Linked DNA regions of Callithrix jacchus. The protein of the gene in region 1 interacts with the protein of each later gene in a biochemical or structural test. Links are inferred from orthologs where the notes say so. Each region holds a gene or a part of one and is shown on either strand. Other genes may lie near its edges. The genes, in order: LYN, KIT, DOK1 and FASLG.

Region 1 (7,258 bases):
AAGCGATCCTCCCACCTCGGCCTCCCAAAGTGCTGGGATTACAGGTGTGAGCCACTGCACCCAGTTGCCTGGGGCCATTTTAAACAGCAAAATCACCAACAAAAAGCACAGAAGTGTGGAAAGCATAAACAAAACGGATAGCAGAAAGGATACCAGAAGGCACAGCATTGCCTTTTCCCACCACAGCTGGGAGGGTGTGCATGGGGCAACTCAAGATCTTTACTGCTGTGGGATGTGCATGTCTATGAGTGACTGGGACAGCACCTCAAGTACTGATTTTGGGGTTGCAGATAAATTTTAGCAAGTAGGTAAATTCACAAATATGGTATCTGCAAAAGTGAGGATACACTGTACATAATTAATGTATTCCCACTACTTCACTCTCCTGTCCTGCCCATCTTATTCCTTCCTTTCTTCAAAGGCCCACCTACCCTGTCAAGGAGCCTTGGTTGATTTGCACCCCGCCTCTGATCACCGCCTTCTGGGCTCAGTTTAGAGAATACTGGTGAGATAAATCAGTCAATCAATCAATTAACCAATCATTCAATTTTTTGTTTTTTTAAGATGGGGTTTCACCATGATGGGCAGGCTGGTCTTGAACTCCTGACCTCAGGTGATCCACCCACCTCGGCATCCCAAAGTGCTAGGATTACAGGTGTGAGCCACCGCGCCAGGCCAAATCATTCAATATTAATGAGGTATTTTAAAGCACCCAACATAATTTTTGGGTGGTAGCGTGGGGAACAGATAAATATGAAAAACAGTGCCTTTCCAAAATGAGTTTTGCAGTAGTTGAGGAGAGAAGGCTAACATGTAAAACAAGGGCAAACAATGTTAGAAAGTACCTAGGTCTATTTAAAACCATCAGATCTAAAAAAAAAAAAAAAAAAGTACCTAGGTTTAGTTGAAAAGAATGTTGCATACTGTACATGCTATAGATGCTTAGAAACATTGCCTATCAAGGCCAGTCACAGTGGCTTATGCCTTTAATCCTAGCATTTTGGGGGGCCGAGGCGGGTGGATCACCTGAGGTCAGGAGTTTGAGACCCACCTGCCCAACACGGTGAAACCCAGTCTCTACTAAAAATATAAAAAATTAGCCCAGCATCGTGGTGAGCGCCTGTAATCCCAGTTACTCTGGAGGCTGAGGCAGGAGAATCACTTGAATCCGGGAGGTGGAGGTTTCAGTGAGCCGAGATCACACCATTGTACTCCAGCCTGGGCAACAAGAGCAAACCTCCGTCTCAAAAAAAAAAGAAAAGAAAAGAAAAGAAAAAAGAAAAAAAAGAAAAGTTGACTATGAATAGGAGCTTTAAATCAAATTTTCCTGAGAAACAGAACTTTCATGGGACTTTAGGAAGGAAAAACAGATATAGAGAATGATTGAATGAAGTATTCAGCAAGTATAAATGCAGCCTAAGAAGTGGAAATTAGCATGGTATTGTTTCTTCCAAATAAGAATGAAGAGATGAACTTAGTGAGGACATCTTGTGTGTGAGGAGTTGGGAGTTGGGGAGCTGGGTTCATCAAGTTCATGTCTGCCTGATGATGCTCTCCTTACCTGGAGAGACATTTTACCAAAGACACTGACAGACATTCCTGATAGATTAGCCAATACCAAACGTTTTGAACCCTACTCTTATTTGCCACTCATGTTTAGCCAGGATCTTAAGGATTCATCAGTAGCAATAGATACTTGAATGTAGGATTAACATATTTGAGAGGTCATTCTGAAGAAAAGAGCAGGCAATAGGCTCTCAGGTGAATTACTCCATAGGATTCTTTGTTTTTGTTTTGCTTTGTTTTGTTTTTTTTCCATAGGATTCTTGGTAAGTTTCAATCACACACCTTCCCATGGGTAACCCACCCCTTCTTCTCTTCAGCAGCAAACTAACTGAACTACACACCAGTGAACATCACAGATATAAACCACCCTCCTTTTCTTCTTTTAAGGAATTCGTTACTATGGAAAGGAGTACTAAAGTTTGCAAACTTAGTACTCAGATTGCCGTATCAGATTGTGTCACAAGGCAGCTGCTTTGACCTCTTGCACTGCAGCTGGGGCCAGCCTCTTCAGAACATTGTTGAGAGGGAAAGCAAGTGCTTTGGGCACTGTCTGGCCCATCAGGCCCTCTGTAAATGTTTGCTATTAATGCAAAGACCAAGTCTCCCACAGTGTCCAATTTGCTTCCTTGTAAATTCTTCAAGGTAATGCAATGCTGGGATCCCAGTGAACAGAATCTGGCTTCGACGTGGGTATCCATGGTGTCCGAGCCTAATCTTACATCTTGGATAAGTTGAACATGAGCTTGAGCCCGCGGTCACACATTCTTTCAGCAAATACTGGTTGGGCATCTGCTACTTGCAAGCACTGCCCTGCATGCCGGCATGCAGCTGTAGCAGGAACGAAGTAACAGCCAGCATTCCCGCATGCGGGCGGTGCGGCCCGGGTACAGAAAAGTACACGATAGGCATCCTTACATCCATTTTCTGGGGGGAAACTGAGGCTTTGAGAAACGGAGAACTTGCCGGGCCATTTGACTCCATGTCATCCCCTCCCCCATCAATGCCCTGAACAGCCTGCCCTGAACCCTGCACACCCTGAAGGAACTTACTTTGTAATGATTATTAAGAGCCCGAGACCCCGAGCCTCAACCCGGCACATCGCATCCTCTCTCTACAGACCCCCTAGTGTTGGAAGGGATCAGAGCTCACCTCCTCCGTTCCCGGGAACACCCCTTTCCTAACACCTTGAGGAGGGGTCGGAAGGAAAGGAAAGGAGACCCGCGAGATGTCGTCGATGCGCCTGCGAAGCCGAGGCTACCCGGAGACCTGTCCGTCCGTCGGTCCCGGCAGAAGGATGGCCCGGGCTGCTCCTCTCGCCGGAGCTGCAGGCTGAGTCGCCAGGTTTCTGTGCCTTCAAACCCTGCGCGACGGCCACACCAAACACCCAAACCTTGGGCAGGGACCAAACGGTCACTTCCCCGCCCTCCGGGCTCAATATGCAAATCCGAGCACCAGGAAGTAGCTGGGACCTCTCGGTCGAGCCCAGAGACAGCCAGTTCCTCTCCCGCCGCGCCGGGCCGCGCTGCCGCTAGCTCCCCGGCAGTGGCGCCTCCGGGCCCGACTAGCTGCAGCCTCCAGCCCGCGGCAAGCTGGGCGGCCGCGCCACCCCCGAGCCCGCGCCCGCAGCCCCTCGCCGCGCGTCCGGAGTTCCCAGCCAGCAGCCTCCCCCTACGCGGGTCCCGCTGGGCCGCCCCGTCGCGCCCCCCGCTCTGAACTCAAGTCACCGTGGAGCTCCGCCGCCCCGAAACTTTCACCGCGAGCGGGTGAGTCCTTGGCGCGAGCCCAGGGTGGGCGCGGGCGGCGGGCGGTGGGTGCAGGGGCGGCGGCTGTGCCACCAGCCGGAGTGACGGGCGCAGGTCAGCTCGGGGCCTGGGGCATCCGCGCGGCCGGCGGCAGCTTCCTGGCCGCACCGCCTCCGGCCCTGGCGGCGAAGACTCGCTGATCTCTTCAGCCAGCGGGTGACCCGGCCCAGGGGAGCTAGGGCGCTGGGACTCGGGCTCCGCAGGTGTCCGCGCGCGTAGCAGCGCAGGAGGGTGATGGGAGGTGAGGGCGTGGGGGCGGGCTCACCGCGGGTCCTTCCCGGCGCGGGCCCTTCCCGGCGCGGGCCGGAGGACCGGCTGCTGTCCCCGCACCGGCGGCTTCTCGTGCACCGCGGGCAAGCCCCTGTCCTTGCGGACTGGGCGCGCGGCGGGGATCCTGGAGAGGACTCCTCCGATTGTGCAATCTGGTCTCCCCTCTGGACCCTGGGTCCCCAGAAAGTGGGAGGTGGGGTTTGGCCGACGCCCTCTCCCAGGCCCGCGGACAGCTGCCTTCCCTGGTGGCCCCCGGCAGGAGCGTGACGTCGAGGGGCTGCGGCAGAGGCCGGAGCTCACCCTCCCGCTGCGGCGCCTCTCCGCCTGCAGAGGAGCAGTCCGGTGCATTTGCCGGCTGAGAGGAAGCGAGAGTTATTTTAAGAATTCGGGGGTTGCCTTTCCTTCTTCGCCTTGGGGGAAGGGCGTTAAGAGTCAGTTCCCACTTTCCTGCGTTCTCTGGGCCTATGGTGGTATCTTCTCCTTGCGGTGCATTTGTAACTTTCCAACCGCCTGCCAACCCTGTGGACTTGTGGTTGTGTCTTCGTTTCTTTGCATGCCCGTGTGTGTTAATTATCCCCAATTCGCCCTTCTTTGCCAGCTTAGAATCCAGGCCTTGCACTTTTCTGGCTGTATATTTTGGGGGACCGATTATTGAACTCTGGGCTTCTTCATCTTTGAGAGAGCATATATATCTCAGGGGCTGTTTAGTACAAACAAAGCCCCTACTACATACTAGGCATTTTGTAAACGATGTTACTGTTATTTATTGCAGTAAATTCTATTCACATAGAGAGGCTCCTTGATTCTTTGCAGCTTGGTGATTTTGAACCTACGTCTACTGTCTGAATTTAGTCATCTGACCTTATTAGTAAATCTGCTTAATAAATACGTGAGGAATCTGCTGCATCAAAGCAGGTGCCAGTAGTCTGACTTGCCCTATAGAACTAGCCAATAAACTGGTGGGCTGCAGGGATGTTTTCTCTGTACAGCCGACCCCTAAAGCCATGTCCTGGCGAGTAGGTACTGCAAGATCCCAGGACTTACTAAAGCCTTCTCTGAAAGAGTAAGCTTTGTTGGAAAAGGGTGAGATCCAGTTAGTCCCTCCATTCTCATTTGGAGGTAAGCAGGTAAGCACTTTGAGGCTTGAAGAAATTTCATTAGATCATAGAGCCTCTGGTGACTGGGCCTCTTTTGATGCAAATGTATGGCGCTTTTGCTGAGTGAAGGATAGAGGGCAGCAGACATAAGGGAAGAGAAAATAGGAGCTGGGAGACTTGAGTTTGGCCTCTTCCACCATTTAGTATGCTGTGATTTGGGATAAGCCACTTGGGCCCTTTATTCAGCTAATATTTCCTTTATAGCAGCAGCCAGAGTTATACTGATCTGTCTGCAGGTTGATAGTCTTCACCACTACAGTGGAAGCTCCATGAAAACTGCTTCATCTGTTTTGTCCAAAATGATAGCCCCAGTGCCTGGTACATAGTAGGTGCTCAGTTTGAGATTACTTGGAAAAAGGAATGAAGGCCTGCTGTGAGCTGGCAGTATGCAAAACTGAGGACACAGGGAGATGAAGAAATAGAGCTGGTCCCCAAGGTATCTGAAGCCTACTGGCCCTTTCTGTTGTGGTTTCTAAAACCGGGATTTGAGGGGCTTTGTTGACTCAAAGTTACCCAGCACCGAGTTACTTACATTTAGTGTTCTAAATGAGAATTTCCACTCAGCACTGCTCTTCTCTACTTATCACTGGAAGAGAGGTCCTGATGTGGGGTGGTTAAGATGTTTCCTGCAAAGGTATTTGACCCACATTATTTTAGAGTCATTCATGTTGCCAAGGTAGGTGGAGACTTTGTAATCCCATCCCCACCCCACCTCTCCAATGACTTTCTTTTAGCAGAAAAGTGGTCCAGCACTGTTCAATGACTTTGAAAGCCTTTTACTTCTCTCTGTAGTATATGTTTTCGGAAATAAATCCCAAAACATCTGCGATTCCAGTTGGTTCACATGACTATGTGGAGTTGTAACTTAACAAAATTAAATAATGTTATCCATGTACAAACCCATACTAACTTTATAAATAAGGATACAATGTATACATGCCCACAGCAGGGAACATTGTTCCATGCTCACAACTACTGATGATCTCAATGATGCTTGGATGAGTGTTAACACTGAAAGGCCACCACAGTCATTAGTCAGGACATTGATCAATGTCATATTGACAGCAGAGATGGCCTCAGGCCTTTCCCGGCTCTGCTTAGCGATGATGGTGAAGGTGTTAGCACCTTTCACTTGTTCAGGCCTCCGAAGTCTTCTTGAACTCTAATTTCATTTGAACCTTTTGTGGCTCCTATAAGTATGGAGAGGGACAGAAACAGAAAAAGATTCAGGGGCTTGTCCAAAATCATGGGCTTGGTTAAGTGGTACCATTAGGAATAGTAGGTATGTTTCTTGGCACTTTCTTCTCGTCCACCTTTGGACCTGTGGGTGCTATATTACAGATGCCTCTCAACTTACGATGAGGCTGTGTCTCAATAAACCCAATCATAAGCTGAAAACACTGAAAGTAGAAGATGCGTTTAATAAACGTAACCTACTAAACATCATAGATTAGCCTAATCTACCTTAAACATGGTCGGAACACTCAGCCTACAGTTGGGCAAAATCATCTGCCACAAAGCCTTTTTAATAATAAGGTGTTGACCAGCTCATATCATTTATTAAATACTGTATTAAAAGTGAAAAATGAAATGGTTGTATGGGTACTTAAAGTACAGTTTCTACCGAGTGCCTAATGCTTTTGCTCCCTTGTAAGGTTGAAAAATCATTAAGTCACGGACCATCTGTGCTTAAAAGCAAAGAAATAATTCATTTAACAAACATTTTAAAAATGAAATCACAAGTTAATTTTGTTTTATCACTTGGTAATTGTCTGCACTAAGTGGCTAACTGCTCAGGACACAGCAGATGCACCATCAAGCTAGGCACTTAAGCTGTCTTCTGGAAATGAATTTCTGTGCTTTTTAGCGCCGCTTCCTGCTTGGGGGTGGGAAAGGGTGGTCTCCAGTAACTGCTAAGGTGACACCTATTCTGGCTGCTGTCCAAGCAACTCTAGTGATTGTCTTGGGGGGCAATCCATTGCTCACTGTTTAATACAGAAGTACCCGAGTAATACTTTGCAAAAGGACTTTCCCCCCTTCTCCTGGAAGTGTCTCCCCATAAACTTTACCAGCCTCCTGAATGGTTGTTGTATCAGTGAGAGCATTATTCAAGGTGAAAACATAAATTAAGGAGACAGGGCTCACAGGATGCACGTTAAAACACCTGCCCATTGTGTCCACCTGCTGTGTGCAAGGCACTGTTCTAGGCCCACAGTATAGATACACATTACCTCCCGTCCGATAATGGAGGCTGATAATGAAGAGACGAACATGGAAGAGGAAGTTGTTGGGTTTTTTTCCAGTCAGAAGTACTGAAAGATTTCGTACAGCTGCCTAGTTTCCTGATACTTAAATTGTGAAACTTTGAGTTCACTCCATTATCATTTCTAAAATTGATTTTGAGTAAGTTCTCATTTGGGGGAGACACCCTAGTATAGAAAGTGGTATGCAAATCTGACAATG
Region 2 (7,153 bases), on another chromosome or scaffold:
GCGATCGAGAGTCCTTACTAAAAGAATTATGAAAACAATAGAATACATAAAGCATAACCCCTGAACAAGCCCAGGACTATCACAAAATACAGTATAGAATTAATCCATACATCCTACCTGTAATACAAAACATTTCCATCATTGCCAGTGTTCCATTGGACACTGCTGATCTATAATATAGTTCCTTATATATTACAGCACATATGTTCATTCATAGTGCCTTATATATTATGCTTCCTTCCTTTATTGAACAGGCGGTGGGGGGGGTACTATTAAAAACAACTAAAGGTACAAGTACTGGAGGCTCTCTGTTGTGGCCAGCATTAACATTTGAATTCCCAGATCCAGGAGATTTGGTGTGTCTCAAGGTTGGGTTGGAAGATGTTTCAGGGGATGGCTTTTTCTGTAATCAGCACAGAAGGATTTCAATATTGTTCCAATAAGGCCAAATTGGTGTGTACTGGCTGAACATAAGCTCTGTTAGCAGATATTATAGTTTCTTATTTGAGTACCTATTTTCCCTGCTGGACTGTGAATTCTACTAGGCAGAGACGTTGTCTTACTCATTTATGTGGGTCTTATGCCTACCTAGGGGCTCAAAAAATATTTGCTGAATGAAAAACAGGAATGACAGTCCAACATCGTATAACTCCCTATTCAGTTTTTTTTCCTGATAGAAGATTCTTGCTTAGAATTAAATTGCAATATGGTCTCTTTTCACCCACTCTTTTGAAGATGTTATCCTCTCCAATATCAGCTGATAGAAGAAGAAAATTGTAAATTTTCTCTCTCAGGCATAATGTTGATATTTTAGCTCGTAGTGATTTTTTCTCAATACAAAATGGATTTTAGAAATATATCAAGATCCCAGAAACTTATGATTGCTTTGAGTGGTATCTTTTATCTGTCATCCTAAGAAAAGCATGAGATCTGATGGCCCAGAGCACAGACCTTTTGCATTTCAGTTCTCCTACAGCTGCAGGACTTGAAACTTTTGCTGGGAGATTGGGATGTAGGTCCCATACTTGATTATAAGGACTGTGAGGGCAGGGGCCACACCTGCATATCTGTCTATTAATAATAGTACTCCTGGTACCTAGCTCCTCCTTGCTTCACAGCAGACACTAAATGTTTGCTGAGTGAACAAATACATACATTTGAAGAGAGGCAAATATACACATTGATTATTTGATCATCCTCTAGTACTGATAATTTCTAAGTGATTAGCTTTAAAAATCACTTTTCTTACATCATCCTGGGCCCTGTCACCATTAAACAACAGGAGAGCTTTCAATATCCAATGAAGTGGGGTAGCTGGGCAACTATAAATTTTGGATGATACTTCAGAGAAGAGTCTAGGTGTATCTGTTCTATCCCTTTTTCTGATGGGCAACTGCCATTCATTTTCCATTCTTAAGCTCTCAGGAGGGATGTCTTATTAGTTTATCAAAATGCTTAGGGGAAGCTCATCTTTCTTGGAGTAGGTCTTCAAACAAGGGTTTTTCCTTCGCTACAATAAGAAACATACCTGCTCTATACCCCTCACAAAGCTGTTATCCTGAGCATGAAAGAAGAGTCGGTGTGGAGAAGAACTAGTAACCCCTACACTGTTGCTGCTTTCCGTTCAAGGATCCACCATGAGACCGTGGGTAGAGCACTTTCTGGGCAGTGAAATCTGGCTTAAAAGAATCGTTGTACTTTTATCTTACTCCTGGGACCGGCAAGAGCAGTTAAGAGGAACACAGGGATCCCTAGCCCTGAAACCGTCGTCTGATACAGAGGCAGAGAAATCATTACAGGGGTTGGCAGCATTGGGGTGGGGGGAGAAATGTGTAAGAAAACCTGGGCTCCCAGAGCAAACTTCGCAGCGCGCCCCTCCCCACTCCCTCGCCCCAGTCTCCACAAAAGTCCGGGTACGGGCTTCTTGGGCGTAGGCCAAGCCGACCAATAGGAACTCACTGTGTCCTTACATGTTACAAAGCAGGTGGAGAAACTGAGCAGAAACAATTAGCTAAGCCAGGCTCAGCCTTTACCGCGGTGCCAGGCGCTCCTAACAGGCCTGGAGGGTAATGTCGGGGCTCAATTTCCTACCGCTCCCCTCCCCATCCCCGTACCTCCACCACCAGCGGCGTCCAGCCTACTCTCGCTCGAACGCGCCGGAGGGGCGGGGAGCCGACCTTTATTGTCTGGAGAGCACCTGGCAGGTGGCGGGCCCGTGCCCTAACGTGCGCGTGGTGCCCAGCTTCACAAAGCCAGCGGGCAGCACCTCCCTGGTTCGGGAACGGCCTCGGACGGGCAGACCACATCCCGGGGTTGGAGAGGTGGAGAGAGAAAGGGGCTCCGGGGTCAAGAGCCAGCGGCAAGGGCGGGCACAGCCCCCCCGGCATTAGCACGTCGAAAGAGCAGGGGCCAGACGCCGCCGGGAAGGAGCGAGACCCGGGCGGGCGCGAGGGAGGCGAGGCGAGGAGGGGCGTGGCCGGCGCGCAGTGGGAGGGCGCTGGGAGGAGGGGCTGCGCTCGGCGCTCGCGGCTCTGGGGGCTCGGCTTTGCCGCGCTCGCTGCACTTGGGCTAGAGCTGGAACGTGGACCAGAGCTCGGATCCCAGAGTAGCCACCGCGATGAGAGGCGCTCGTGGCGCCTGGGATTTTCTCTGCGTTCTGCTCCTCCTGCTCCGCGTCCAGACAGGTGGGACACCGCGGCGGGCACCCCGGCCGTGCGACTCCTCGGCGAAACCTGTGCCTGGGAGGGTGGTACACGCCAGGGTGCGTCCGGAGGGGGAGCTGCGGGCCCTCAATACCCTTGCGTTCCAGCCTCCGGGGAGACTCCAGGCGGCCCTCGGACTCTCCAGAGGCCTGCCTTGCTCACCTGTGCGAGGAGACCTCAGCTGCTGGTGGTGGGGGGCGCGAAGCCGGGGTTCTTTCGGGAGTGGGGACAGCAAGGGGGTTAGGCGTGAGCGAGGCTGCAGGCTGCATGTGAGTTTGGGGTAGCTTTTGTGCCGATGGTGCGCTGGGGGCGGAGGCGGGCGGCTCAGGGGTTCGCACCGAGCGCCTTATCTCTCCGTGCGAGGCGCGGCCGCAGATTCCTTTTGTTAAAAGTTGCGTGTGTGTAACCGGTGCCCAGGATGACCTGCCCACAGGTTCTCCGCCACGCGGAGGGCAAAGTTAAAGAGCCCTTTCTCTCCTCTGCGGCTGCTGCCTTCCAACCGCAGGCGCTCTTTGTGCCCAGAGCTGGGGACCGACCCGCTGCTGCCTCTGCTCGCGGCGCCACCCGTGGAGACGAATCGAAGGCTGCAGCGTTTCCCCGCCTCCTGGTTAGGGTTTTGCACGGGAAGCGTGCGGCGTGCGAGTGTGGGGCTGGACCCCCGTGAACCTGGCGGTAGTGGCGACGGGGACAACTTGGGTAGGGCGTGTGGAAAGCAGCCGCTAGGTTGCAGACTTTTTGCTTTCCTACATCGCGTGCTCGCCTCTTTCTGCCGTGGCGCCGTTTCATTCCTGCCAAGCGCCCCGGGGCTGCTGGAGGCTGCGTTTGCCGCCTGCTCCTCTAAGGCAGCGGACAGCGTGCTGATACTCTGCGGTTTCTGACCCTGGCCGCCTAGCCCGCTGGCCCAGTGCCTGGCCTGCCTGGCGGGCTCTGGAAGCCCCTAGTCCGGCTGCCTGCGAACTGTATTCGCAGGTCCTTATTTTCTTAGGACATTTTTGAGGTTCGTAACCGCCCGTCTCTCCACTCCCGGGGCGTCGAGACTTCGGGGCTGCCTGGGGATGGAGAGGGAGATGGAGTGGAACTTTTTGCAAATCTTAGTTCTTAAAGCTGTAACAAAAATCTAGGTATATTCGCGTGGGAACTTGGGTCTTAGGTGTAGGACTTCCAGGCTGCTGGAGCCGCTCGGTCAGATTCCTGCCTCCGGTTCACTTGTTTTCTCGGTGTCGCTGGTGCGCGCGAGTGCAGGTCGCTCACTGAAGCTAACCCCTGAAGCCCTGTTCTCTTCCAGGTCATTTTAAAAAACAAACCTTTAAGGTTACCCTGATGATGTAAGGATAGAAAGTGAGTCTGAGCTGGAATCAAGTGCTTGAAAGGAAGCGGCGCAATGAAGGGTTGTGAGACTGTCGACTATCGGTCAGTTTCTCTAGAAAGCTTCCAGGCGCAGCCTCCCGGGTCCTCGTCTTGTAACCATTGTGAGGGCTTTCCTGTGGGGGTAGAGAGGCCTTGCATCTGGACCCCTGCGCAGCAGGAGGGGTCAGCAGGGGTCACGCGGGAGTCTTCGGATTCCCTGGAGGATTTGATTACCTGTCTTAAAAAGACTCATCTGGTCTTTGTTTTTGTGCCTTGGCCTTTTTAATATCAGTTAAGGTATGTGAACTAGACCCTACTAGGAGACTAGAAAGACAGCCCACATTGAATATCTGCCTTTTAAAAAATTAAATGAATCAATGGTTTCCTTCTTCCCAGTAGATTTTTGGCAAAGGAAATTTGAAGGTCTGCCTCCTGGGGGGCAGTGTGGTATAACGACCAAGCCTTGCTCTCTCCCCGGGATTCTCCTTTTCTCTGCCATTCCTTGGCTGCGTGTCCTTGGGCAGGGTGCTTACATTCCGGGGAATCCAGTGTCCTCCAGAGTACAAGGGGGCATCTGCATCCTGAAGTATCCTTTGCGTCTAGAATTATCCTCCAATGTTCTAAGTGTAGACTCAGCAGTCTTTTCAACTATTTCCCTGGTCTCTGCCTGCCTCTTTGAAATTCCTCTGCCTCTCCTGCTCACAGGGACCTCATAGTGTATGGTTGCATCTGACTGGAGCTGTGGCTTATGCTGCCCGCCCCTCAATTCCCATATATTCCTCTGCATTGCTCTTTGAGGGCTAGGAGGTACCCACTTTGTCCTAACCCTCATTCTTCTCCTCCCCTTCCCCCCTACAACAGTATTACAGCTCCTGTGCCTAACAGGATGAACCTGCAAGGAATAGTGAATCATACCTTCTCGCCTCGTTCCTGCAGGTGTGAGGCTGGAGTCATTCTCAGCAGCTGGACACAAGGCACTCTAAATTATCCTGCTGGAAATAATAAAATGGTCTTATAAAGAGATCCCAGACAATTCATTTATCCCTATTGTTTTTCCCCCCACTCATCCCCCTATTTTCTTCTCGTGACTCTGTAAATCCCGTATGCTGTGCATTTACAACATACTTTCTAACGCATCTTAAATTCCGTATGACATGTGTGATACATAGTTGTTGCTCTTCAGTTGGAAACGATGTACCAGGCCCGGTGCTTGGGGCTTTACCTGCTATTTCTAGTAGTCTCAATGAGCCCAGGAGGTAGTACTATTACTCTAATGTTTTACAGCTGGAGAAACTGGCAAGAATAAGCCCCAAATCATCAGTGGTGAAACCTGATGATTTCTCACTACCATGAAGGTAATGAGATTGGCTTCATGTGCCCAGCTGTATATCCATTCACATTACTCACCAGAATCTGTTGTAAGATTCATTCAAAAATATTTAATGAGTTTTTACTATGTGCCAGGCATTGTTGGAGGTTCTGGGAATGTAGAATGGCCAATGTCACTACCTTCCTAATTTTGGTCAAAAATACTGAGAATTGCATGTCTTATGACAAGAGAGTATTTGTGGAGGGAGGATTCATTAAATTTTAGCTTGGAGAAGGGGCTGTAGGCATTTAACCTGTGGTATGCTGGCTTTAGGTGTTAGCTGACCCATTCCAGGTAGGGTCTCTGAAATGAAGGTAAGCTGTCTCTAAAATGATGATGCAAGCCAATTTAAATCCATCTCTCCAAAACATAAACATGGTCTTGTGCATAGGTGGGAGAGAACACCCCTAATAATGGCTGATACCATTGGCTATTTACCCTGGATAACACAATGAGAAATAACGACAATTTACCATCCAGGGCCATTTTTTCTCCCAAAAGAAATTCTCATCAGAAATGTGCCAGGTATTCTGCGGGCTTTCCTTGGAGCACATTTATGTAAAGATGTTGTGGTGATGAATTTTGCTGCTGTTGTTGACAGTCCTTCAAAGTTACCCTTAGGGTTTTGACTCATTTCCTCAAGCTTCTTCCAGATAATTAAAGAAGGACACAAGGAAAAGAATCACAGTGTCTCCAGTGGAATTTTCAGAGCTGGACTGCAGTGTGGGGACCCCTTCAAGGTGTAGTGGTCAAGGCTGTGGCAGCATTTTCTCCAGAATGAATTCAGTTGAAGAGTTGGCAGGCTATCATGTTGAAGTGCTTTCTTTTGCTGCATTAGTGTGTGGTAACTTTTAAAAAGAGGAATTAAATGACATTTACAGGAATCCAGATATGCAGAATTGCATGTGCAGTTTTAGTAACTTGAATAGATATTGCCATAGCTATAAGTCCAGAATGAGCAAGGCCTGGGAGGGAGTAAGCGGAGGTAAAAGTTTGCCTGGAGGGCAAATCCAGTGTAAATCTTTGTTGTACATAGAGAGGACTAGAGTTGAGTCAGTTTGGCCCAGCAGCTCTGATTTCTGACATTTTTTGGACATGATCATACTGCTCATCTTTTGACCTCAGATTCTTAAGTAAAGGGCAGTTGTAATCTGATAGCCGGCGGAGACGTGTTTTGTTTGGCCTACATGATGCTTTTTAGAAAACATTGAGGTGATATTAAACAATCTAGAGTTTTTATCAAGATCTCTATTTCTGTCTTCTCTCTAAGAATTGAAGGTCATGGCCCCCGTAGATGGGGCCTGTGCTCTTCAGGTTGCATTAGGCTCTAGGACTTGATCCTGCCAACCCTTAGCATTTCCCACTGGGCTCTGGTGAATGCAGGAATCCAAATCTTCCCCCTGGGACCACGCAGAGGCAGATGACAAGTAGGAGGAGCACAGTCCAGCCTACCTTGTGTTGGTCTGATGGCTTCATGACTGACAGCTCTGTAGCCTTCAAGCAAAAAATGGGATTAAATGACACTTGGAGGAATCCAAATATGCAAAATTTCCCGTGCAGTTCTGTTAACTTGAATAGATATTGCCACAGCTGTAAGTCCACAGTGAGGAAGGCCTGGGAGGGAGTCAGGAGGTAAAAGTTTTATTTTTATTTATTTATTTATTTGTTTGTTTGTTTGTTTATTTATTTATTTATTTTTGGAGACAGAGTCTTGCTCTGTCACCCAGGCTGGAGT
Region 3 (7,303 bases), on another chromosome or scaffold:
GCAGCCGGCAAATCTTCCTCAGACACCTTCTTTCTGCCCTCGGAATGGGAGGAGGATCCCTCAGGGCCCTAAGTCACCAGCACCAGAGCCTAACCACATCCATGCTCAAGTTCACATAATGGCTATCTGTGGTCAGACCTGCTTTCTATCTGCCTGAGTCTCTGTGAGTGAGGGCTGCCTGGGAAACAAGAGCCGCCTTCCCCACCTCTGTTTCATGCTGTCCCACTCCTCAAGTGGAGAAGCAACACACTCGAGCCTGTCCCTTCTTCAGCAAGGACTCTCATTTTCTTTTAAATCATTTGATACTGTTTACAGAGGTGAAGATTAAACACCCAATAAGCTTCCACCATTGTTAGAATTCCCAACCCAGAATTTCTTCTTGTAGCTCAGTGTAAGCAGGTGGATGAGGTCAGGTCACCTTTAGTAAAATGGGACTCAGGAACAAGGAGGAGGTTTCCAAACCTCAAAAAGACACGTAGGATTGAAATCCAAGCCTCAGTTCAGAGCCTGTGGCCTTCGTGCTACACCACCAGCCTTCAGCCTCCAAACAGACAAGTGCTTGGTACCTACATGGAAAGTGTGTGTGTTGTGGGGTGGGAGTGCTGCCATATAGCCCAGAACAGGGGAGAGGATGGTGTAGAAAAGACCTACTCCTTTCCTTTTACCCTCTCCCCACACGTACCCACCTTCCTGTTGCTCCCTCCATCCACAGAATAGCTACCATTTATAAAATACTTCCTCTGGGTTGGGAGCAGTGGCTCACACCTGCAATCACAGCACTTTGAGAGGCTGAGGCAGGATGATCACTTGAGGCCATGAGTTCGAGACCAGCCTGGACAAAATAGTAAAACCCCCATCTCTACATAAATAGTAAATAAAAACTAAAACAAACAAAAACCAACTCTGTGCTTCAGATTACACTAAATACTTATAATGTATCTAATTTCATACAAAAAGCCCTGTGAGGTAGAGCTCATTATAGTTTTCCCATTTTACAGGGGGCACAGGGGAAACTGAGGGTTGCAGATGTTCCACAACTCACCAAGGGCCACAGAGCTCTCGTCTAGCCTCAGGCAGCCTGACTTGACTCCCCAGGCTCTGAACCGTCGTCACACTCCTGTTCCCTTTCTGGGCCTCTTTCCTCTCCATTACTCTCAACACATTCCTGGTTCTCCTCTTGAACCCCACCACACCCAACCCAACCACTGTGTCCCCGCTTTCTGTTCACACACACAAAATTCTTAAACCCAAGCTGACTTTAATGAGAATTTTAAAATTTTGAAATAGATATCTGGCAAAGAACAATGCAGGGGTAAGGATCCAGGCACATTCCAGCATCTCCGAGACCTCCACACAGGCCCTCAAACTGCAACCACTCTTACCATGCCCCACTTTCCACAGACCTGCTCCCGCAGCTGTCCCTTCCTTTGGGGAAGTGGGGAAGGGATGGTATTAGGGGGAGGTAGAGTCCATCCCTCAGGCCTGTCATCTGTCCCACTTCTTAGGACTTCCTGGGATAGTCCTTCCCTTGACTTCCCCCATCCCTCTGGTCCCCTGCTCTCACACAGCACGGCTCCTCCCACCCTCTGGCTTCTGCTGGTTCTAACCATTTTCTTTGACCCAAGTGCCACCTCCCCATGGTCCTCCTCAGCGACCTCAGCCTTGCCCTCCTTCTCAGGTAGAGCCCTCTGACTTGACCCCAGTCCTGTCAGTCCCTACTCTAGAGAGCCCACAGTCCCAGCTCCCTGAGGCTCCGCTCTTCTGGACCTGGCTGTACAGGGCTGAATTGTGGCTTTTGCTGCCACTGCCAGTTGCAGTACCAGGTTCAGGTAAGGCTAGGCCCTGGGGCTTGGGAGCAGGGAGGGGCTTTGTGCTCCGGGAGGGTGGCACAGCATAGTCATCAGTGGCAGGGTTGTAGGGGAGCTCATAGCCTTCCTCCTTCACCCGAGCCTGGCACCACCATGCATCCTTGAGCTCCCGAGGCAGATCATAAAGGCCCTGGGGAGGGGCTGGGGCCAGGCCCTCAGGTTCATCATAGATGGGATCCTCTTTGGGGTCCGTCAGCTTGGCCTTCATCAACTGCTGCTGCGCATGCTCATACAAGTCCCAATAGAGCACTTTCTTCCGTTGTACTCCCTCTCCTGCCCGAGCAGGGGTGCTGTCCAAGGGGTCTGAGTATAGGGAGTCCTGGGAAGGGTGTGGAGTAATTCGCAGGGAGTCTAAGGGCTCAGCATACAGGGCTGGGGCACTGTCGAGGAGCTCTTGGGGGCCAGGTGGGGAAGGCAACTTCCCCTCTGCCACCTCCCCTTCATGGGAGTCAGCTCTGAGAACATCGTGCCCCTGCCCTGCCTTTCCCTGGGCCTTTTGCCGGTGGATGGCAGTCTCAACTGCTTGGAAGATGTCATTTCCCTGTGCCGTCTGGAAGGTGAAGGTTCCAGGGCCCGAGGGGCAGCGGCGGCCGGCCTCAAAAGAGAACATGACCTGAGGAGGGTGGAGAGGGAGCCATCAGAGGAAGTGAGTCACAGGCCTGCATTAATCAGGGTATCTACAAAGAAGAGACCACCTGGGAACAGACGTGGGGTATCCGGGTAGGCAAGAAAGGGGAATCCGAAGGTCAGAACTACCAACCTCTGTCCTGCCCCACCCACAGCTGCCCAACCCAGGAAGCCCTCCGGGACAGCCACTGCACCTTGTCCCGGCCATAGCGACGCAACAGAGTGTAAGGCCAGGACAGGAGTGGCTCCAGTATCTGATTCTGGGTTCCCACGGTCAGGAGAGTCAGCCTCTCAGCCTCCACCCTCAGCACGTAGGAGCCATGCAGGCCACAGCGCTCGGCGGCCTCAGTCCTCTGCACCGTTACCCAGAATTGGGATCCTGGAAGGCATATACAATTAGCTGCGGCAGGAGGGACGGGGGAGGGGGGGGGCAGCAGTGGGGACCCAGAAGCCTCAGGGTCCAAGCACTCACTTGGAAGCCAGATCTCAGGGCCTTCCTACTTCCCCATGGGTCCCTGGGTATCCACCCACTTCCCAAAGGCACTCCTCCCTCCTCACTCCATCCCTGCCCGGCTTTCTCAAGCATCTACCTTCCCAGGTGGGGCTGTACAAGGAGTTCTCCAGCATCTCCAGGGCAGAAAGCTTAGGTGGGTTATCGGTAGTCCAGCTGCCTTTCTGTAGTACAGAGAGAACATCAAGAAACCTGTAATTTCCTCAACGCGGCTGGGGAGGTGGGAGCGGTCTGAGCCGGCCCCATTTCTCTGCCTCTGTAACTGCCCCCACCCCGCATCGCCGCAGCCCCTCACCGGAAAGGCATTTCTGCACAGCATCTGCACCCAGGCTGCACTGGACGGTGCGTCGGCCGCCAGCAGGTGCGAGCGCTGAGCAGTGTCCAGGCGGAAGGCAGTGGCGCCGGGCTCAGGAGGGGTCTCCACCGTGACGGGGGCCACACTCACACACTCAGCCAGACGGATCACCTTGCAGTCCAGGCGGCGCGAGCTCCCTCGGCCACCTCCAGAGCTCGACCCCTTAGGGTCAAAGAACTCGAGCCGCGCCACACCGTGGGGACTGGCCGGGTAGAGCACAGCCCAGGTCTTCCTCCACCTCTAGGGAGAGAGCGAGAGGACTGGAGAGGGAGTGGCGTGCGCGGGCGGGCCCGGTCCCGACGGGGAAGGAGGGAGCGGTGCGGGTCGATTTGGGGTCTGGGGCTTCCAAAAGCTGGGCGAAGTTTCCCAAGGAGGATGCCACTCCCTCTCTGCAGGACCAGAACCCCGAGACTACAGACGCTTCTCGGGAGCGTGCAAAGCAACTTCGCGGGAAAAATCACAGGCTCTCCAACTCCTGGCGCCGCGCTCCAGCCCGCTGCCCACCTCTCCCTGTTTCTGGGCTCTCTCACCCACTACTAGCCCGGATGGGGTTCGGCATCCGCGGCCCCCGACTACCTTGGTCCCAAAGCGCTGACTCTGCAAAAAGAGCGGCCCTTCCATCTCGGCTCCGTCCATGGCCCCTGGCAGTTCCTTCCGCGCTTCCTGGCCCTGCGGCGGGAGGCGGGGCGGGAGGCGGGGAGGGAGGAGGGGCCGGGTTCCCTGGAGGCGTTTCCGTCCCTCCCAGCACGCCGGCCGCCGCCGAGGGGTCACGGTGGGGTGAGGGAGAGCATCTAGAAGGAAGGGTGGTGGTCCCCGGATTAGCCGGGCAGTGCAGCACCCCAAACCCCTACCCGCCGTCGTGGGGGCGCGCCGGTGGCTCCACGGAGAGATAGTCCTCGATTTCGGCGGGAAGACCCCGGTCTCTGGGCGTGGTGGCTGCGCGTGACGTCATATGCCCAACATGACATCAGAGTGAAAGCCGTGACATCACCCCAAAAGCGCCCGCAGGCACCCGGGGACACCGAGATACCCACAAGGGCCTCCGGGGCTTCAGTTCCCCCTGCCGGGCCCGCCCCCAGCCCCGCCCGAGCGGGGCTGTTTACACCCCACCGGCAGCGACTCGGAGCGGGGCCGGCGGCTGGGGCTGGACCTTTTCCCGCCACCAAGGGGGCCGCCCCGCCGCCCGGCGGCCGCTTGCAAGTCGACTCCCTGACCGCAGCGGCCTGGCCTCCATGCCAGGGAAGAGAAAGCTTCTTTGAGTGGGCCAGGAGGGCCGGGGAGGGGGAGGGGGCGCGGCAGTGGCCAGCTCCACGGGGAGGGAGGACCCAGAGGAGGCGAGGAGGGAGCTGGCCGGGAAGAATGGAGGGAGAAGGCGGAATGTGGGAGGGCTGAGGGAGATGTGGGAGGGACGATCGGAGGGGGGGGAGAGAGGGGGGTCCAGTCTTCCCTGGCCGAGCATTTTTTTGGGGGAAGTCCTAGGACTGATCTCGAGGACCAGCACTCTTCTCCCAGCCCTTAGGGTCCTGCTCGGCCAAGGTAGGGGGAGTCACGCTACCCGCGGAGGGAGCGGAATAGGGGATGGAGAGGATGTGGAGGGACCAGAGAAAACGAGTGGTGTGGGATAGAATCGAGGGGAAGCCACCCAACTGAGAGTCTGATTCTTGTCAAAGGGCAATGAGACAGAGTACAGAGAGGAGGCACTTACTGGAGGCGAGGGCTCTGGGTGTTTTGAACGGGGCAGCCAGGAGCGCCCTAAGGCAGGGGGCTCCTCCGGGAGGCCCTTCTCCTGGGTCCCCAAGCCAAAATGTCCCCAGAACAAAGCTGCCTTGTTGGATTGATTGTTTGGGTTGGGGGAAGCATATTGGCAGGGGCTTGCTGTAGAGGGGTTGTTCTCAGCCCTAGAGAGAGAAGGCCTTGGCTGAGGAGTCATAGCGCCTGGCCTCCGGTTGCCCGGTGACAGCGATGGTGGCGCTGGCAGAAGGCTTGGACAAGCCTACCCCATCCCCCGCCCAGCCTTGAGGCCTGGCCCTCCTGGGCCTCTTGACCCTTCAGGGCATCTGAGAGCCTGTGTACTGGAGAGGGTTGCAGCAGGTTCTCCAGAGGAGCTTCTGTGCCAGCCTTCCCTGCCTGAGAATCTGCTGGGGTAGGACACTGGGCTCCCATTCAGGGGATCCAAGGCCGCCTAGGGCCCCCTACGTGCCTCTCTGCACAATCAGTACAGCTGTCTGTCCTCTGTCTGGGTAAATGGGGTCATCTGGATCCCTCCCACGTCCGCCCCTTGGCTCTTGTCAGTCCCTCTCCTCCTCACCCGCAGTGTGCTTGGTTCCCCTATGCTGAGTGCTTGGTTCTTTCCCTACCACCTTCTACCCATTGTCTCTCTCCTCTGCATCTTTCTGTTTTTCTCTCTATCATTCCCACAGTCTCCCTTCCTCTCACATCCTGTCTGTCTGGGTCTTCCTCTCTACGTGTCTCTTGGTCAGTCTCTATCTCTATTCCTTGACCCTTCTCTGACTCTCTGCCTCTCATAGCTGTCTCTTATCTCTGGGTCTCTCAGGCTGTGTCTCTTTGACCTGTGCCTCTGCCCTTAATAATGTGTTTCTCTCCCTGTCTCTCTTGGTCCCTGGGGTCTCTCTTTCTCTCCTGCTGTCCCTCACTGTCTCTGGTCTTACTGGGTGTCTGTTTTCCCTTCATTACTTCTCTCTCTCTTTCCAACTCTGAGCCTCACTAAATCTCAGTTTCCCTCACACACTTTCTCTCTGGGGCACCCAGGCCTTCCCTGCCATGCGACCTGTCAGTGTCTGGCAGTGGAGCGCCCGGGGGCTGCTGCTGTGCCTGCTGTGCAGCTTGTGCTTGGGGTCTCCGTCCCCTTCCACGGACCCTGAGAAGAGGGCCGAGAGCCAGGGGCTGCGGTTCCGGCTGGCTGGCTTCCCCAGGAAGCCCTACGAGGGCCGTGTGGAGATACAGCGAGCTGGTGAATGGGGCACCATCTGCGATGATGACTTCACGCTTCAGGCTGCCCATGTCCTCTGCCGAGAGCTGGGCTTCACAGAGGCCACAGGCTGGACCCACAGTGCCAAATATGGCCCTGGAACAGGTGAGCAATGATCCAGGCATATCCTAGGTATTAAGTGTGACCAATGTACAGGGAGAGGGAACACCAGGATGGCACAGCCACAGGGACACAGGACACCAAAAACAGCCAGATTGAATAAACCTGTGGATGACAAACCAAGCAACAAGTTAATTCCCAGAGCTGTGTGACCTTAGGCTAGTCGGTGCTTTCTCTGAGCCTCAGAGGCCCTGTGGGCAAAATGACTGGATGATGTCTAAGTTCTTTTCTGCTGCAAAAGTACGATCCTACTAAGCCATACACAAAACAGCCCAGGTACAGGTGAGCCCTGTTCAACTAAAGTACAGTTGGTTTCATGGTATGCTAGCTAAGAGCAGGTAAATGATATCTGGATGGCCCAAAGTCACAAGGCGTCACAGACACTGCAGCTAACAAAATCAGGTTACAGGCCAGAGCTAAAACTAACAAGCTGGCACTGTCTAAGGACAAGTATAAAATCTAGGACAAGTATGAGTGTGGGTGGTGGGGACTTAAGAGCAGTTTCCTAGGTGAGGCCTAGGACTGCTCCCACGGTATAAACCCACAGTGGGATTGATGGACAGAAGTGGGGCAACCTGCAGCTGATCCCCCCACTTCCCACTGGCTAGACCACCTGTAAATTAAGTGTCATTTGTAAATGCTATGTTTTAAGAGGGACAGTAGAAAATGGAAATACATTCAGGAGAGCTGCCTTGATGTGAAAGATTCAGAAGCCAAGTTTCAAGGAGGAATTGCTGAAGAACCAGGGGATTGATATGGAAAAGGCTTGCATAGCAATGATGTAATAATCGTTTTCAAATATTCGAAGGACTGTCGTGTGGCTGAGGGATTTT
Region 4 (7,424 bases), on another chromosome or scaffold:
ACCAGGTCTTCCCCCAATGACATTTTACACTCTGCTCCAAATTAATTATATTAAGAACTCAGACAATCACCTCATATCACTGAGGCTTAAACCCCTTTAATGGCTCCTTCCCAAAGATGCAGTTGTATATGCGTCTTCTTATCACACAATCCCAGCCAATCTGCCCAGCCTTATCTCCTTACTCCCACTGAGCATTGCCACACAACGGGAGTTCTGTGGCCTACACATACCCTCACTTCCCCTCCTGTGTGTCTTGGTTCATGCCATGTCTTCCACCCATAATGTTCTTTCAAACAGATTTCTGTGTCAAATTCCTAAACATCCCACAAGGACAATCTAATATATCTCTTTCTTTGGGGAACCCTGTCAGGCCTTTTTTGATCAAATACAATCTTTCCCTCTTTTGAAATCTAGGATCACCCTGTTTTCCCCACTCTTTCTGACTCCTCTTCTCTAGGATAACTACATAACTTATCTTATTCCCCTCAAATAATGACAAGTTTCTTACAATATGTTGAATTCACCAGAGTAGCCCAGTTTCTAACACAGGATATGTTACTAGCAAATGCTGGACAAATTAAATGGAAGGACAGACAATAGTTCTCAAAACAGATACTATTTCTCTGACTTCAACTATTTCAGACAAGATAGACAGCTGCCACTTAGCTAATGAATTCAGCTAACTGAGATATCAATTAATATTCACACAAAGTGCTTGTCTGTGTCAGGTTCATGATTAGCCTGTAATACTCACACATGGTCTGAGAATAGCCCAATCCACAGAGAACATTGCCTGAACAATCATGACCTCTGTAGTCACCCAAGCCACCCCACCACAAAGGCGGTGTTAGTGAACAGGAAAGGCAAAACTGAGTTTCCTCTGCATTCCTACACCACAAACCATCTGAGCAACTAATCTGGCATTCAGCCATGCACCGGCAGGAAATGGAAGAGAGAACCACATGTCTTTATATCCCTCACAGAGCCTAGTACAATGTTATTCTCATAGAAGACGCTCACTAAGAATAGCTGCTATACAAATACTGGAATAAATAAACTGCAGATATATCCTAGACACTGGTGATGAGTGCTTCCTGCCCCAGGTTTTTTGCACGTGCCATTCCCAGCACTGAAATGCTCTCTCCCAGCCCCACCACACTCCACAGTACATGCACACAGCCCTTCACTCTGCGGCTTCTGACCTCCACGGGTGTCAGCATAAACAACACCTCCTTAGAGAGGGTTCTCCAGGCCATTCCATCTTAGGTTGCACTGAGTAACTTTGAAATTGCATGGTCTTTTTGCTTGCTTTTTTTTAGCTTCTTCACCATGCTAAAAGCTCCATAAGGACAGGCCCCCTGGGCTCACTCACCCTCAGTCAGCATCCAGCACCCAACATCTAGCCTCACAGATGTGAATGAATAAGATATTTAATTAGTTAACGGAAAAAAAATGGAAAATATAAAAAGGAGGCAATTAAAGAGTGTAAATAATCTATAATAGTATCTCTCAGAGAAAATCACTGTGAGTACATCAGTATAGAAAACTTTCTAGTTCCTTTCTAAGAATATAAATATGTGCATACATGCTTACATAGTCAGTATGAAACTAAACATACTCTTTTGTAACTTGTCTTTTTATCTAACAATAGAGTGTACAATCTCCAAGGCATTAAACGTCCTTCTGATATGTTTTTAGTTGCTGCTTATTAAGCACTTGTCTGAATACATCATAATGTATATGACTAACCTAGTATGAGGCATTCAAGTTTCTTCTGAATTGTTTATTATAAATAGGCTCATAAGGAAGTAATGAATATCCTTATATGTAAATCTTCAGGCACAGGCACATCTCTGATTATTTTCTTAAGATAAATTCTTAGCTATGGGATTACAACGTAAACTATTAGTTCCAAGCTTTTGATTGTATATCCAAAGTGCTCTTCAGAGAAAGCTATAGCAATTTACATGTACACTGGCTGAAACAAATGTTTGAACAGGCTCTTTTCTCTCAAATCTTTGTCAATTTGTGCTTTTTTTTAATTTTTACCAATTTGATGAAAACTTGATATTTCCTATTTTTAATTTGCATTATATTAATTTGAATCTCTTTTCTTATTAGCCATGTGATAATTTACCAATTTCTGGTCCATCTAGAGAAGATAATTGCTTACCAGGCAGATAGACCTGACTCATCTGATCATTTGACTTTTAATCACTAAACTGACTCAAGAGTGGGTGAAATATGAATAATTAGGTACCTATCAGACCAGGCACATTCCACAGATTTTCAAAATGATCTTATTTAAGACATCCTCCAGAGGCTTTATTTTTTTAACAAATATTTCCACTCTGCTTGTGTACATGTGGAAGTTCTAACATATAAGGATTAGGACACAGACACAGGAGCCAGAGCATCCAACAGTGGCTCCTACAAGAACCTAACAATCTGGGATAGCAGACAGGCGACTGGGTTGCCTGCAGTAGCCACATCCAGAGAAATGGGAACTTGCTCCACTTCTTGGCCAGTGCTGCCTTCTGCTTGCTTCTGAGTTTCTAAGGATGAGATTTACCTATTCTCTTTGCAGAGGTATTCTGCTTTTCATCTATTTCTCATTCCATGGTCACTACAGTCAGGAGTTTCCCTACTTGATGAGGCACCAGTCCATGTGCTGGAAAGCCCTGTAGGTGACAAGGCATCAAGAGCCCGTGTTCCTTCCAGCCCCAGTTCCAGACCAGTGTTCTTGGGCGTGTTCACCTAATCTGTCTGGTATTTTGTTTCTCTTCCAAAAGACAGAATGACTGGACTAGATATATTCTAAGCTTCCTTCCAACTCTAAAAATTCAATGAATCGCATTGTAAATCTAAATCTGAAATTTCAGTGAACCTTAGACTAGTGAAGTGTGCCGTAAAATCTATCTGTACAGAGCTTGCAAAACTATGCCCTGACATTTCATGAGATCAGTGTTCAACATGTCATCTTCTTGTCCTAGCTCCCATACAAAGGGTTTTCCTTTGTGATCAAGGGTACCTCATGACCGTCTCTGTGGGTGAAGCTGAATGTCCTTTGAATGATGGCTGAAGTCTTCCCCTAAGCTACTCAGTGACTTCAAGAAAAACCATCCTATTGTGGGCAATTGATTATCCTCATTAAAAGCATACATCCTATAAAATAGTTTATAAATTAAGCTTCACTGTAATCTCTTTAGAGAGTTTAAAAGAGGAGAGGACGTTTCTGAGAAACATCTATCTCTGCCTTCACCTCGCCTTCTCTTCCCAGGAGTCAAAGCCACTGGCATGTGTGCCACAACCAAGATGCCTGTGGAATGCGACAGACCTTCCTCAGGGGGCAAAGGTCCAAGTTGTGTATGTGTGTCTCCAAAGTCAAGTGAAAGTGATTTTGAATTGTGTGCTGTGCTCAGCTATACTGATTGTGAGCAATTCAATTGACTTCACATTTTTAAAGCAGCTCGAGGAATCATATTGACCAGAAATTCAGAATCAGCCAGAACTCCTCTCATAGCATACATAAGCCAAAGTGTAGGACAGAATATAAGGCATTCCATTAACATAGTTCAGTGCTGAGGATCATCTTTGGGAACTCATTGTACCCACAAAAAAAGGACTCACCTATTTGCTTCTCCACAGACGATACTGCATGCCTCTGGCTGGCAGACTAGTAAAAGAGAAAGAGAAAAGATGTATAAAAAAAATAAAACTCTTTAAGCAAAAGAGGCAGAATTGTCAAATAAACCAAGCCCTGGAAAAAGAATCCAAATACCTCAGAACTTTTGTTAACTCAGGCTTTGTCCAAGCAATTTTGCCTCACTGTCCCCCAGTTTTGTGATTTGGAATCATATCAATATTTTAAGTACTTTCAAGATTCAGTTTGGTCATCTGAACAAATTTACTTCCAAGCAAAACTTAAAAGTTTGGTTTGTTTGTTACTCCTTGAATCACTAGGTATGAGGCAGGAAGTGGTTCAACAGACTGAGTTGACACATGAGGAAAAGAAAACTGTTGGGCTCTGATGCTTTACGAAACAAAAAATATTCCCCTCACTCATGTGAACCTCCATTTCTCTGCCTATAGAATAGAATAACTAGAACAACCCATTTCTAAGGAAAAAAAAAAGAACTGAAAAGCACTTGGCAAGCCAGGCAGTGGGCCCTGCACCCCCTTATGCCAGGTGCCTCCAGGGCACGGCAGTCCACCAGCAGGCTTACCTCTCGGAGTTCTGCCAGCTCCTTCTGAAGGTGGAAGAGCTGAAACATCCCCAGTCCCAATCCTACCAAGGCAACCAGAACCATGAAAAACATCACAAGGAGACACAGGCCTGTGCTGTGGGTCCCTCCCTTCTTCAGGGGTGGCAGTGGTAATGGAGGCAATGGTGGCGGTGGTGGAGGTGGTAGTGGCGGCGGTGGTGGCGGCGGCGGTGGTCTCCTTTGGCCAGGCCTTCTGGGCACAGAGGTTGGACAGGGAAGCACTGTGCCTGGAGGGGCCCAGGGAGAGCTGGCACTGCTGTCCACCCAGTAGATCTGGGGATATGGGTAATTGAAGGGCTGCTGCATGGCAGCCGGTGACTCCAGCCAGCCCCAGCAAATGGTCTTATTTCTTCCTAATCCTGTAGAGGCTGAGGCGTCAAGGACAGGACTCCTGTTGCTGACTGCTCAAGAGAAAGGAAGCTAGATCTCTCTTATAGAGTTTCCATAGCTAAGGGAAACACCTCTCTCTCATTCTGCTTCTCAGAGAAACGCCCACTCACTTTGCATCTGAAACTGAGAAGTCTCAAGAAGCTCAGAGCAAACCCCTTGGAAGTTTCCGCCCACAATTTTCTTATGAAGGCCTTTGAAGCCCTAGGTGCTGTCGCTGGGCTACCCAAAAAGGCTGGTAGGCTGTGCTCCCCTTCCTTGGGTCCTGCAGAGCAGGTCAGCACTGGGATGTAGCCCTGTTGGTGTCAACTTCTCCCAGCTACAGGAGAATGGCCAGTGGAGATATAATTTTATGAATTATAATCGTATGCATTTTTATAAATTATCATTATATAATTTTAAGAATTCTACAATACATACAACCAAAAAACTATTTTAAAATCCCAAAATAACTCTAACAAAAATTGTTCAGAATCATATTTTTAAATCCATAAATTTTACTGCAAATGGCTCTGAGGTGAAAGACCATGAAGTCATGGCCAAAGAAGTCACTCCCACATTTTACTTTTTGCAAAAGGAAAACATCTGTTGCCATCATCCCTTCCCCACACACAAGTATCATCTACCCTGACCAGCAAATCACCATAATTTACAGAGTAAAAACCTGCTACACCCACTTTAGAAATTAGCTCAGAGGCTGCAAACCAGTGGAACCCACAGAGCTGCTTTGTATTTCACATGTTTTTCTTTTCATTGGTTGCCCACTTTATTTATTTATTTATTTAAAGAGAGACAGAGTCTCACTCTGCCACCCAGCCTGGAGTGCAGTGGTGCTACCATAGTTCACTGCAGCCTCAAAATCCTGGGCTCAAGCAGTCCTCTTGCCTCGACTCCCAAGTATCTGGGATTATAGGCATAGGTCACTACACCTGACTAATTTATTCTATTTTTTTGTAGAGATGGGGACTTGCTATGGTGCCCAGGCTGGTCTCAGCCTCCTGACTTCTAGAGATCCTCCCGCTTCAGTCTCCCAAAGTGCTGGGATTACAGACATGAGCAACTGCACTCAGCCAGCCCAACTGACCACTTTAAATATTGATACTAAAAATATTATATATTTTTAAATACACATTAAAAAAATATTTCTATTCTCTTTTGAAACATCAGAATGTCGGACACCCTCAAGGCCATGGGTAGCAGCTACCCCTGAGAATGAAGGACAGGTGTTCTGGGTCACCCAGCCTCCACCACGCCCCTGTGTCTTACACATCACCTCACCATCTGAAAGGCCTGCCTGGTCTCTGCTGACATTTCTTGTGCAGCCACTGTTATGGTTGCCAGATTAAACACATGGTGACCAATTAAATTTGAATTTCAGATAAATAATACATAATTTTTAGGGCAAGTATGTCTTAAACGTGTCCACACATGGAATATACTAAACAATTATTTATTGTATAATCTGACATTCAAATTTAACTCTGTGCCCTATTTCTTTGTTTTGTTTCATTTAAAGCAGGCCTCTCTCCTTGGACTCACCTCACCCTTTCTCCTCTGGCCTCAAATACCATTTATATGCCAATAACTTCCAAGTAGTTAGCTTCAGTCCTAATTATTCTCCAATATAAGCCATACAAATGCCCTGTAAATCCCACTTTGTCATTTTCTTTTTCAGGTTTATTACTTTTCAAATTTCATTAGTTTTTATATCATGCTTTGGGATTTCTGTGGCTATCATTCAGGCCCACTCACCTGTACCAAACCAATACCAAAGGTACTATTTCCCCGATGGATTCTGCCCACGCCAGCCCAACCCCATCCCCCCACAACCTGTTTCTCCTGAGGCCACTCTTTCTGGAGACAACTTCATCTCCTCTCTTTTCCTCTCCCCCAACATTTAACTGGTCACCCAGGATTGTTGCTTTTACCTGAGACCTGTTCCTTACCCTCCCCTCAATATAAGGTTCCCCCTGCCCCACCCTTGCCATTCCCATTTTTCTTACTGCTATTGCCCAGGGTCAGATTTTTATTATCTCTCACCTGAAATACTGCAGTGATGCCCTAACAGGTGACCTGCCACCAATTTTTCCCAAGCCCGAATCACCCAGTAAAATGCTACGAGAAAGACGTTTTAAAAAGCAAACCTAACGATCTCACTTCCCTGCCTTGTGTTGAAAGGTCTGATACCAGGAGTAGTGCAAGCTCCTTAAGCATTACCCAAGGCTCTTTAGCATCAGCTCCCACTGCCTCCTTGCCAGGCACTCCTGCTCACATCCCACTCGCCACTCTTAAACAGGGCAAGGGATGAGACTAGCAAGACTGTGCACGAGTTAACGAGCTTTTGAACTCATATGTGGCTTTATTTACCGTTATAAACTAAGTTTAAACTTCATTATAATCAGAAACTATAATTTTAAGAATTCTACCATACATAAAACAAAACTATTTGAAAATCCCAAAACAACTGTAACAAAAATTGTTCAGAACCATGCTTTTTAAATTATAAAAATTCTACTGAAAATGGCAAAGATTCAAATAAGTGGGAAAAATTCACCATATCCTGGATGGGGAGGATAGGCAGGTGGTGTTGCTTGATGGTTGGAGGTCAGTGGTTCTGAAGAGTTGTTAAACTATGTGGCATCCAATCCCAACTCTTCTGCTCATTAGCTGTGTGAACTGGACAAGTCACTTTCCCTCCTCGGTGCCAGAGTTTTCTCATCTGTAAAAATAAGCATGATCCTAACAGTACCTGCTTTATGGAAATTAAGAGGA

The links.
Region 2: the proteins of LYN (region 1) and KIT form a complex in vitro, tested with the Homo sapiens proteins (2 studies listed by BioGRID and IntAct, with this or other methods). The link is inferred for Callithrix jacchus from reciprocal best matches to the Homo sapiens genes LYN and KIT.
Region 3: of the proteins of LYN (region 1) and DOK1, one has a biochemical effect on the other in vitro, tested with the Homo sapiens proteins (2 studies listed by BioGRID, with this or other methods). The link is inferred for Callithrix jacchus from reciprocal best matches to the Homo sapiens genes LYN and DOK1.
Region 4: the proteins of LYN (region 1) and FASLG form a complex in vitro, tested with the Homo sapiens proteins (2 studies listed by BioGRID, with this or other methods). The link is inferred for Callithrix jacchus from reciprocal best matches to the Homo sapiens genes LYN and FASLG.

What each region holds. Positions count from the first base shown.
Region 1 is NC_133517.1:12,278,536-12,285,793, forward strand, and holds the start of LYN (tyrosine-protein kinase Lyn), read left to right. Parts: upstream 1-3,060; 5' UTR 3,061-3,329; intron 3,330-7,258. UniProt on the Homo sapiens protein: Non-receptor tyrosine-protein kinase that transmits signals from cell surface receptors and plays an important role in the regulation of innate and adaptive immune responses, hematopoiesis, responses to growth factors and cytokines, integrin signaling, but also responses to DNA damage and genotoxic agents.
Region 2 is NC_133504.1:142,095,364-142,102,516, reverse strand, and holds the start of KIT (mast/stem cell growth factor receptor Kit), read left to right. Parts: upstream 1-2,559; 5' UTR 2,560-2,617; coding exon of another isoform or gene 2,618-2,684; intron 2,685-3,486; exon of another isoform or gene 3,487-3,699; intron 3,700-7,153. UniProt on the Homo sapiens protein: Tyrosine-protein kinase that acts as a cell-surface receptor for the cytokine KITLG/SCF and plays an essential role in the regulation of cell survival and proliferation, hematopoiesis, stem cell maintenance, gametogenesis, mast cell development, migration and function, and in melanogenesis.
Region 3 is NC_133515.1:38,641,767-38,649,069, forward strand, and holds DOK1 (docking protein 1), read right to left. Parts: upstream 4,035-7,303; 5' UTR 3,998-4,034; coding exon 3,938-3,997; intron 3,602-3,937; coding exon 3,302-3,601; intron 3,171-3,301; coding exon 3,086-3,170; intron 2,875-3,085; coding exon 2,690-2,874; intron 2,482-2,689; coding exon 1,675-2,481; 3' UTR 1,242-1,674; downstream 1-1,241. Other genes in the region: M1AP (meiosis 1 arrest protein), read left to right, coding at 1-72; LOXL3 (lysyl oxidase homolog 3), read left to right, coding at 6,143-6,455. UniProt on the Homo sapiens protein: DOK proteins are enzymatically inert adaptor or scaffolding proteins. They provide a docking platform for the assembly of multimolecular signaling complexes. DOK1 appears to be a negative regulator of the insulin signaling pathway.
Region 4 is NC_133519.1:30,106,808-30,114,231, forward strand, and holds the start of FASLG (tumor necrosis factor ligand superfamily member 6), read right to left. Parts: upstream 4,673-7,424; 5' UTR 4,572-4,672; coding exon 4,227-4,571; intron 3,677-4,226; coding exon 3,631-3,676; intron 1-3,630. UniProt on the Homo sapiens protein: Cytokine that binds to TNFRSF6/FAS, a receptor that transduces the apoptotic signal into cells. Involved in cytotoxic T-cell-mediated apoptosis, natural killer cell-mediated apoptosis and in T-cell development.